2 linked regions of the Neurospora crassa OR74A genome follow. The protein of the gene in region 1 interacts with the protein of each later gene in a pairwise test. Links are inferred from orthologs where the notes say so. Each region holds a gene or a part of one and is shown on either strand. Other genes may lie near its edges. The genes, in order: rcm-1 and hda-3.

What was found.
Region 2: the proteins of rcm-1 (region 1) and hda-3 interact in binary tests that used the Saccharomyces cerevisiae proteins (3 or more experiments, as listed by UniProt). The link is inferred for Neurospora crassa OR74A from reciprocal best matches to the Saccharomyces cerevisiae genes CYC8 and RPD3.

What each region holds. Positions count from the first base shown.
Region 1 is NC_026502.1:1,788,797-1,793,039, forward strand, and holds the start of rcm-1 (RCM-1, variant), read right to left. Parts: upstream 3,013-4,243; 5' UTR 2,536-3,012; exon of another isoform or gene 2,465-2,535; 5' UTR 2,253-2,464; coding exon 2,102-2,252; intron 2,027-2,101; coding exon 1,823-2,026; intron 1,759-1,822; coding exon 1,676-1,758; intron 1,600-1,675; coding exon 1,420-1,599; intron 1,359-1,419; coding exon 1,266-1,358; intron 1,206-1,265; coding exon 1,049-1,205; intron 997-1,048; coding exon 1-996. UniProt on the Saccharomyces cerevisiae protein: Acts as a component of the CYC8-TUP1 corepressor complex which is involved in the repression of many genes in a wide variety of physiological processes including heme-regulated and catabolite repressed genes.
Region 2 is NC_026501.1:7,046,344-7,050,862, forward strand, and holds the start of hda-3 (histone deacetylase RPD3), read right to left. Parts: upstream 2,974-4,519; 5' UTR 2,530-2,973; coding exon 2,317-2,529; intron 2,254-2,316; coding exon 1,953-2,253; intron 1,885-1,952; coding exon 1,343-1,884; intron 1,292-1,342; coding exon 371-1,291; 3' UTR 1-370. Other genes in the region: rpn-11 (26S proteasome regulatory subunit RPN11), read left to right, coding at 3,628-3,693, 3,798-4,051, 4,113-4,519. UniProt on the Saccharomyces cerevisiae protein: Catalytic component of the RPD3 histone deacetylase (HDAC) complexes RPD3C(L) and RPD3C(S) responsible for the deacetylation of lysine residues on the N-terminal part of the core histones (H2A, H2B, H3 and H4).

The sequences.
Region 1 (4,243 bases):
GGGGTGGTCTTCCATCAGTCCTCGGACTGTTGTTAAAATGCATCATTGCGTTTGGAGGAGGAGGGCCGTTTGGGCCAGGACCAGAATTGGAAGGGACCACGTTCTGGGGATTAGCGTAGTTCGGGTTCCTCACTCTAGTACCACTACCCCCTTCCCGAGTAGGTTGAGGTCCTTGCTGAAGCTGTTGCTGCGGGTGCGGCTGGTGCGGTTGTTGCGGAGGTGGAGGGGGTGGAGGGGCGTAATGAGCCTGGGGAGGGGTAGGTCCTCTTCTGAGCGGCTCGGGCGCCCTGGCCTCCTGATAAGGCCTCATTTGCTGCTCCTGTCGCGGGCTGGGCTGTCTGGGAAGCGGCGGAGCGGGACCACGAAAGGGCTCCCGGTCTTGACCCGAGGCATATGGGTTCGGCGGCTGGGGAGGAGGGTTAATGTCGGAAATTCTTCCACCCCACGAGTTGGCCCCTTGGCCCGGGCCAGGGCCACCGTTGTGCATCGGCTGAGGCGGTTGATGAGGAGGCTGGCCTGAGCCTGAGCCCGCCCACTGAGGGCCCGGAGGACCAACCGCACCGGATGCATTATACGTCTGGGGGTGGATATCAGTGGGCATCGGGACTGACCCCGGGGGTGCGCCGCCATTAGCTTGCCCACTTCGGAGGAGCTGCAATCTGGTCTTGATATGCGGGTTGTTGGGATCCAGTTCGGCGGCACGTTGATAAGCGTCCAGAGCATCGCTGATCTGGTTGTTGCAAGACTCATACAAAGTGCCAAGGTCATACCAAACTTCAGAAATGAAGGGGTTGAGCCTGATGGCCCTGGAATAGGCGTCCAAGGCGTCACGATACTGGTTGATCTGGTAGTATAACACACCAATCGAGCACCAGAACGTAGGGTTCCTGCCATCCCTATAAACAGCTTGCTGATAAGCCTCGTATGCCTTAGGGTACTTTTGAAGTTGCATGTAACAACGACCGAGCAAGTACCAGCTTTGGGCATCGGTTTGGTCTGGATTATGTCAGTATAGGTGCATGAAGAAGCCAAATGCATCGAAACTTACCAGCTGCAACGGACTGATTCAGGTACTCGATTGCCTTTTCCTGGCTGGCGACTGAATTACTTTGCTGGTGATGCAGCCAGCCCAACTGCTGAAGGACCTTTGCGTGCTTTGGATCACGTTGCAGCACTCGCTCGTAGGCTTGCTTGGCACCATCATACTGCCACAACGTCAGGATTAAGAGTCGAGGAAAGAAGTATAAAATGCAAAGCAGACTTACGTCTTTTTGCTGTTCATGGACGTGACCAATCTGGAACCAGATATCCTCTTCGGTCAAAGGAGTAGGAGGAGAGTTGACAATGTATCTGAAGCACTGTTGACGAGTAAGCTGGCTGTCTCATGCCGATCTTATCAAGACAATGCTGTCGACTTACATCAAGCGATTGCTGGTACTTATGCTGTTGCTTGTAGATTATGCCGAGACGGAAATATATCTCATGAGCCTTGTCGAAGTTGGGGTCCATGGCCATGACCTGCGAGAATGCTTCCTCTGCATGGTCCAAAGAGCCATAGCGATCATAAAGAATACCTATGCCATACCAAAGCCTCGGTTCCTGCAATCAACAGACAGTTAGCCAAACCGTTGTCAATTCTGAAAAGAGGCACCCCAAGAGGTACAAATGCACGCACCTTTGGGTTGGGAAGGTTAACCAAGGCCGCTTGGTACGCAGCATATGCCTGTTGGAGGTCCTCCATCATGAGAAAGCAATGTCCTAGACACCAACAGTTAGGACCCGAATTTATTGAAATATACGTGGCGAATAGGGGGCTGCTTACCGAGGCTGCCCCATGCTTCACCGTTTGCAGGCTCGATCTTTAGGATCCTCTGCAGATATTCCGACGCCTTGGGGAAGTCCTCGCGCGTCCTAAGGACGAGACTGGCGGCATTCATAGCAGTCACAGAGTTGGGGTTGGCTGCAAGAGCCCTTTCATAAGCCTCTAGTGCCTCGTTGTGGTTCCCCATGAGCTCGGACACGGAACCTACCATGATTGCTAAATTAGCATCATACAAAATAGCCTAAAGAGGCAGCCAACAACGGCGTGGGAAGCACATACCGATTCCGATCCACACATTCTCGGTCAAGCTCATAAAGGCCTGCCGCTGTTGATTCCATGAAGGAATCGACGCCGGCGGTGGACCTGGGGGCCCTGGCGGGCCGTGATGCATTTGCATCTGCATCGTAGGGGAAGGGTGGTGGTTTGCCATTTGGGCGATGTTGCAGGAGTAGCGCGTGGATGGCGTGTTGCTCCTCGATGGACTATAGGAAATTGGAAGAGGCGGGGGCGGAAGCCAATGTAGCGCTGCCGACCCAACTTAACAGTAGAGGTAGAATTCAAAGTTTCACAAGGCGATAGCAATACAGCCTTGGTATCCCATGCAGCTGTTCCCGGGGACGCTACGGGGATAGTATGTAGGTACTAGGTAGGTAGCAGGGTGGTGTCAGGGGCCGTTGTCAAGATGCGCAGTCAGTCACGATGACTGTACCAACCAAATTGTTAGGCTTCTGCTCTTTGGGCGGCTGGACCACAACGATACGTGGCGACGGCGTCAGCAATGCAATGGTCGTGACGATGAAGCGCCCGGTTCTTGTGTGTTGTTGGGCGGACGCGATTGTCAAAAACCGAGAAAAGTTGATTGCGAATGAAGGCGACGAGAGGGCGGCAGCCTGTCGCAGCTTCTTATAGTTGGACAAGATGCGCCCAAGCTACCGAGGTCGGAATGGCGACGTCGTGCTCTCTTTTTTGTTCGAGATGGAGATTTGGACGAGACGAGCAATGCGAAAATTATTGCTCGCGGCAATGGCTGGCTGGTGTGAAGGGGGTACACCGGCTGAGTTGGGATGGAATCAGGTCCAAGGTGGTGGTTTGCGCAGAAAGAGTCGTGCGCGATGCAGGCAGCGAAGGCGGCGGGAGACGGGAGAAAAAGAAGGGGAAGGGGGAAGGGCAAAATTGGCTGGGGAAGAGGCGATCTAAAGGCAATGGGGAAGGCGGCCAGGAAGCAGCTCGATTCGCTGAACGGGGAGTTCTGACCACTTTTGCAAACTCCCCTAACCCACGGCGTCGTGTACGTACTTTTGGCTAGGTAAGTTTGGAATTTGCTCCCGGTTCCGCTTGGTGCCGCATGTCATACGGCGCGCCAAGATAAGTGACCCACACGCGCTGCACAAGGCCCTGGCGGCACAGGCAGCCCAGCCCGGTTACGGCTGGCAGGTCGTGGCAGGTTGCGGTACATTGGGGCGGGGCGAGGTGGGCACAGGGGTGCTTCCGTCCACTTCCACTTGGCTGCACCGGGGTCGGGGTGCCTAGTGCCGTGTACCTACCTAGGTACCGATGTACTTGGAGCGACGAGCACGAGCACGAGCCAACTAACGGAACCTACCTCTACCTACTACATAGTAGCTGGACTCTTGACCCTTGTTGCCCGTAGTGCGGTTGGGTTGCCCCTGGCCGAGGCCAAGGAACCACGATGAGAATGTAGAGGCAGAGGTGAGGCAATATGTATCACGCCTAGAGATTATCCAGACATGGTAGGTAGGTATCCAGACAGCCGGCATAGAATGGTAGAGCTACCTATGATTTCCAAGACATCGAAAACAACACGAGTTGGAGTCCTTGCCGCCAACCTAAGTCTGTAGGCAGTAGCATAGTGTACAGTCTCGAGTAGAGTGAGGGGTCTGGGTAAGGGAAGGTGCCCCTGGTCCAAGACCAAGAGAGCAACCTACTCCCACATGCCGTCGAGATGAAGAGGCCCAAGAGCTTCCGAACGAAACTCAGGTCACTACTATGGCCAGCTTGTCTTCAGGCCGTCTATCATATATGTTCCGTCTTGATGTTGGAACTCAGGTTTGCGGCTTTACAGTCTGGGTTCTCACCACTTCTCCCATCATCCGCTACAGCAGTAGGTACGTACACAGGCATCGCGCGAGAGTGCTCGTAGTTTATGTGGTCTGGTCGCAAGATAGATGAGCGGAAGAAGCAATGTAGGGCAAGGACATATGCATCCATGTTGGAAGATATGATGTACTCTCCGCTGCAGTCTAGCCTCCTCCGTGCTTCTGGCCCTTCAAGACCGGAAAACAACGGGACGGAATCTCCCAGCCGCCTTGCATACGCCTACCTCGCATTTTCACTTCGGATGCGTCAAGGGTGAATGTTTTTCACATTTTACGCTTGCATTCATTGACCTGCAACAATGAA
Region 2 (4,519 bases), on another chromosome or scaffold:
AGCGTTCACCACTTAGTGAACATCCCTGGCTTCCAAACCACAATCACATATCAGCAAGCCATGTTTAGCTAAAGTCACCTTTATTAGACGCTTAACTTGTAGAAACTTTTCCGAAACATGGAAAAAGAAAAGAAAAGGAAAAAAAAAAAAAGAAAAAAAAAGAAAGAAAAAACACAAACAACAAAGAGCCTGGATGTAATGTGGGGGAATCATTGAAAACAACATTTTCCTCGTCACAACACCCCTAAATCCCCAAACGCCAATGCCAATCATGCTCATGGGATAACACAACTGAAATTTGCCGACGTACTCAGGGCCCGATTAGTCCGAGCTATCAGACGTACTGAGTGTTTGTTCGGGGGGTTGCGTCCTATTCTTGAGGCTTATCGGCCTCCTTTTCCTTGTCATCTGTTGTTGCTGCCGGTGCCTTGTCGGATGCCTCCTCGGCAACCTTGCTTGGCTCTTCTGCCACTGGCTTCTCAGTGTTGGCGTCTGGTACCGGCGAGGCGGCCTTGGGAGAGGCTGCTGCTGCTGCTGCTGCCTCGGTAGCAGGCTCCGCAGTGGCGGCGGCGGGACTTGGCCTGCGCTCTGCCTCCGGCTCCGGAGCAGGGGCAGTCTCGATTTCCTCGGTCTTGATCTCCGCCTCAGGTTCTGCAGGCTTCTCATCGGCCTCGCCCATATCCACATCGCCATCTTCGTCAACTTTGGCCGCAGAGCTTACTGCAGGCTGCGCGGCTGTCGTTGCGGGGGCTTCGGCTTCAGGTTCAGCGGCGGCCGGTTGGGCTTCGTCGTTATCGATCATGGTCTCATCGTTGTCGACAGCAGTAGGCTCCGCTGGCTTAGCGGCGGCCGCGGCGGCGGTGGCGGCAATCGAGGGCGGAGCTGGTTCTCCAATATCAAGATCCATGTCCTCCACGGCCTTGGGGTTCTTGAAGTCGAGAATGGACCGGCGCTGCGGTCCGTTCGGCTTGAACACACCATTGGCTTGAGCCATGTCCTCGTCATCACTTTCTTCAAACTCGTCTTGCCTAGCTCTCTCCTTCTCCCATTGACGCTGTGTCCGCCGGACATCCTTGTTCTCGTCCTCATCCATGTCGTCAAGCTCGTCTTCCTGATCGTCTGACATACCGAAGCCCTGACGCGGAACGTCCTGCATCTGGACAGAGGGAACTGGGGCGGTCTTCTTCAGGTTTTCTATCACTGATATCTTGATCTTCTCCAGGTACTCTGGGCTGTTGGCGTTCTCCATATTGGAAGAACGCACATCAAGCTCGTAGTCGGGACCGTAATACTAAGAGTTTGTTAGCAAGGCGGCAAGCCATAATGGAACTAATCCACTTACGTCGTAGTACTCGTTGTAAGGAAGGACTGGGTTCATCTCAACACCAACCAAACGGCCGGTTTCGTAGGCCCAAGTCCTTGCGACGTTGCGCATGGTGTAGCCACCTCCGCCGAGAACCAGAGTGGGTAGTCCAAAGCTCCGCACGTAATTAACGCAGTTGGCATGGCCACGCATGCTCAAGTTAAAGCAGCCAAGACGATCACCGGACAAACTGTCACCACCGCATTGGAGGACAACAGCCTCAGGTTGGAAGTATTGCATGACAGCGCTAATGACGGGCTGGAAGATGGAGCTGTAGGTGGTGTCGTCAATCCCATCGCGGAGGGGGAAGTTGACGGCATAGTTCTTGCCGGAACCGATACCAATGTCGCGCAACTCGCCGGTACCGGGGAAGTACTCGCCGTACTTGTGGAAGGATACGGTCATGACGCGATCCGTCGTGTAAAAGGCTTCTTCGACACCATCGCCGTGGTGCACATCGATGTCAATGTAAAGAACGCGCTTCTTGAAACGCAGGAGCTCTAGGATAGCCAGGACGATATCTGTTCGGTGTAGTAGGTAAGCATGGGTGGCGTCGTACGGGTTCCAGGAAATTGTGAAGGCCACATACCATTGACATAGCAGAAACCGCTAGCCTCGCTCTTCTTGGCGTGATGCAAACCACCGGCCCAGTTGATGGCGATGTCGCACTTGTCCCTATTCAAGCGAGCGGCACCCTCCATACTTCCGCCGGCACTGATGCCGCAGAACTCAAACAGGCCGTCGAAAACGGGACAGTCATCGCCAACATTGTACTTGCCCTGCTCGCGCATGAAGCCGTCCATGTTGTCGGGGGTAACCTTTTGTAAAAACTCAATGTACTCGTCGGTGTGAAACTGTGTCATTTCGGCAGTAACGGCTGGTTTTGCACGCTAACACAGAGAGGGTCAGTTTGTCGTTGACCAAGGCCAGTACCCCCAACACAGCAAACTTACGTAGACCTCGAGAAACTTGTACACGTTGTAGTTCATGACCAGACTGTGGGCAAGACGGATACGATGGGGCTTCATAGGATGGCCGGTCACGTAGGCATAGTTGCCAATGTCGGAGTCGTAGAAGTAGGCGACCCGCTTCTTGTCATTGTGGACGACGGTATACAACGGCTCGTCACGCGCGACTCCGGCGGGATCGGTGAATGTGGAAGGCATGGTGGGCAGATGTTGCCGGGTTGCCCGTTGTGTTGTGTTGCGTTGCGTTGGCGGATACGGAGGACTATTGCGGTACAATCCGGATTGTGGGTTGGATGGTGTGTGTGTGTGTGTTGTGGTGGTGGATATCACGTCCAAGTATGTAGAAGTTATCGCTGACCGGGAGACGCTGGGATGGGAAGGACCCCGTCGTGAAAGGAAATGTTCAGGGTCGCCGGGCTGAATGGGGGAAACACGTGTTGAGGTTTCGTGGTATTGATAGAATGACAAAGTATGATATAGAAATATCCCCGTGATGTGGCAAATCACCTGGGCGGTATCGTCATGGCTTGCCAGCAACGAAAAGAAAGATGGTGTTTAGTTCGAGCTCGGTTCCTGACGCCGGGGTGTCTGTCACTGAGTGGCAGAATTGCTTGTACGAGCCACGGCACAACGCTGAGGTCGGTGCGTGAAGCCGTGGGCGGACAGGCGGGGGAGAAAGCGCAAGCACCAGCAACCCCAACGGGCGAGTGGGGTATAATTGAGCTGTTCTCCATTCTCCAATAACTTTAGTAACCAATCAGAAAACGGATTGTGCACCTGACGTCCTGTCGGCAGGCAACGTCGAACCTTCCAAAAAAGCGCCAATACTTATGAAGTCAACCGCTTTGCCTGCCGATTTGCAAACCAGATAAGATTATGTAATCCACAGCTTCCAGCTCAAGGGAACCTTCCGTCACCGGGCTGGCCTGCAGTGGACTTTGTGGCAGTTGGCGTTGCAGGCTGCCACAGCTTGTCGTCAACGCCGCCGCCAGCCAGCTGCGGCAAGCTCCCCATAGGTGCTGCATGCTCCATGCTCCAACCTGACGCGGTAGGTAGGTAGAGAGGTACTCAACCCACCAACCTAAACAACAAACCGCCCCGTCTCCCGTCTTGTCATCGACGACATCCCACTTCGACTTTACAACGAAACCGCCACCGTTTGCATCGCAACCCTCCATATACTTCTGCGCGACGTCATTACACCCGAGGAACGACGCCGATATTAATTTCCAACACCCCCGTCACACAGCTACGTCAACATAATACACTACTCTCCAACCAACAAACACATTCAAGATGGATCGCATGCGCAGCTTGTTGGGCGGCGGCCTGGGAATGGGCGGTGCCACTGCGCCAGGAGCCGTATGTTTGTTCCCATTCGCAAATTGAACAACAGAACCGCAGGCTTGCTTGGTCTGGCGTGAAGGTGACAAGGGCATGATGCTAATGTGCTGGGTTCTGGTCAGGACAACACCAACCTCATCGACAACTCGGAAACCGTCTACATTTCCTCCCTAGCCCTCCTCAAGATGTTGCGCCACGGTCGCGCTGGTGTGCCCATGGAAGTCATGGGCCTGATGCTGGGCGAGTTTGTCGATGACTTTACCGTTCGCGTCGTCGATGTGTTTGCCATGCCCCAAAGCGGTACTGGTGTCAGTGTAGAGGCTGTCGACCCCGTCTTCCAGATGAACATGATGGACATGCTCAGGCAAACGGGAAGGTGAGAGGATACTCAGCTCAACTTGACCTTTCACCACCCACTAATGTATTTCCCTTCGCAGGCCCGAGGCCGTCGTTGGCTGGTACCACTCGCATCCCGGTTTTGGCTGCTGGCTTTCGTCGGTTGATATCAACACCCAACAAAGTTTCGAACAACTCAACTCCCGTGCGGTCGCCGTGGTTATTGACCCCATTCAGTCCGTCAAGGGCAAGGTTGTGATTGATGCTTTCCGTCTCATCAACCCCCAGTCGCTCATGCTGGGTCAGGAGCCCCGCCAGACGACATCCAACTTGGGACATCTCAACAAGCCTTCCATCCAGGCCCTCATCCACGGCCTGAACAGGCACTACTACTCGATCGGCATCAACTACCGCAAGACCGCCTTGGAGGAGAACATGTTGATGAATCTGCACAAGCACGTTTGGACCGAGGCCCTCGAAATGGAGGACTTCCGCTGCGAGGGATCGA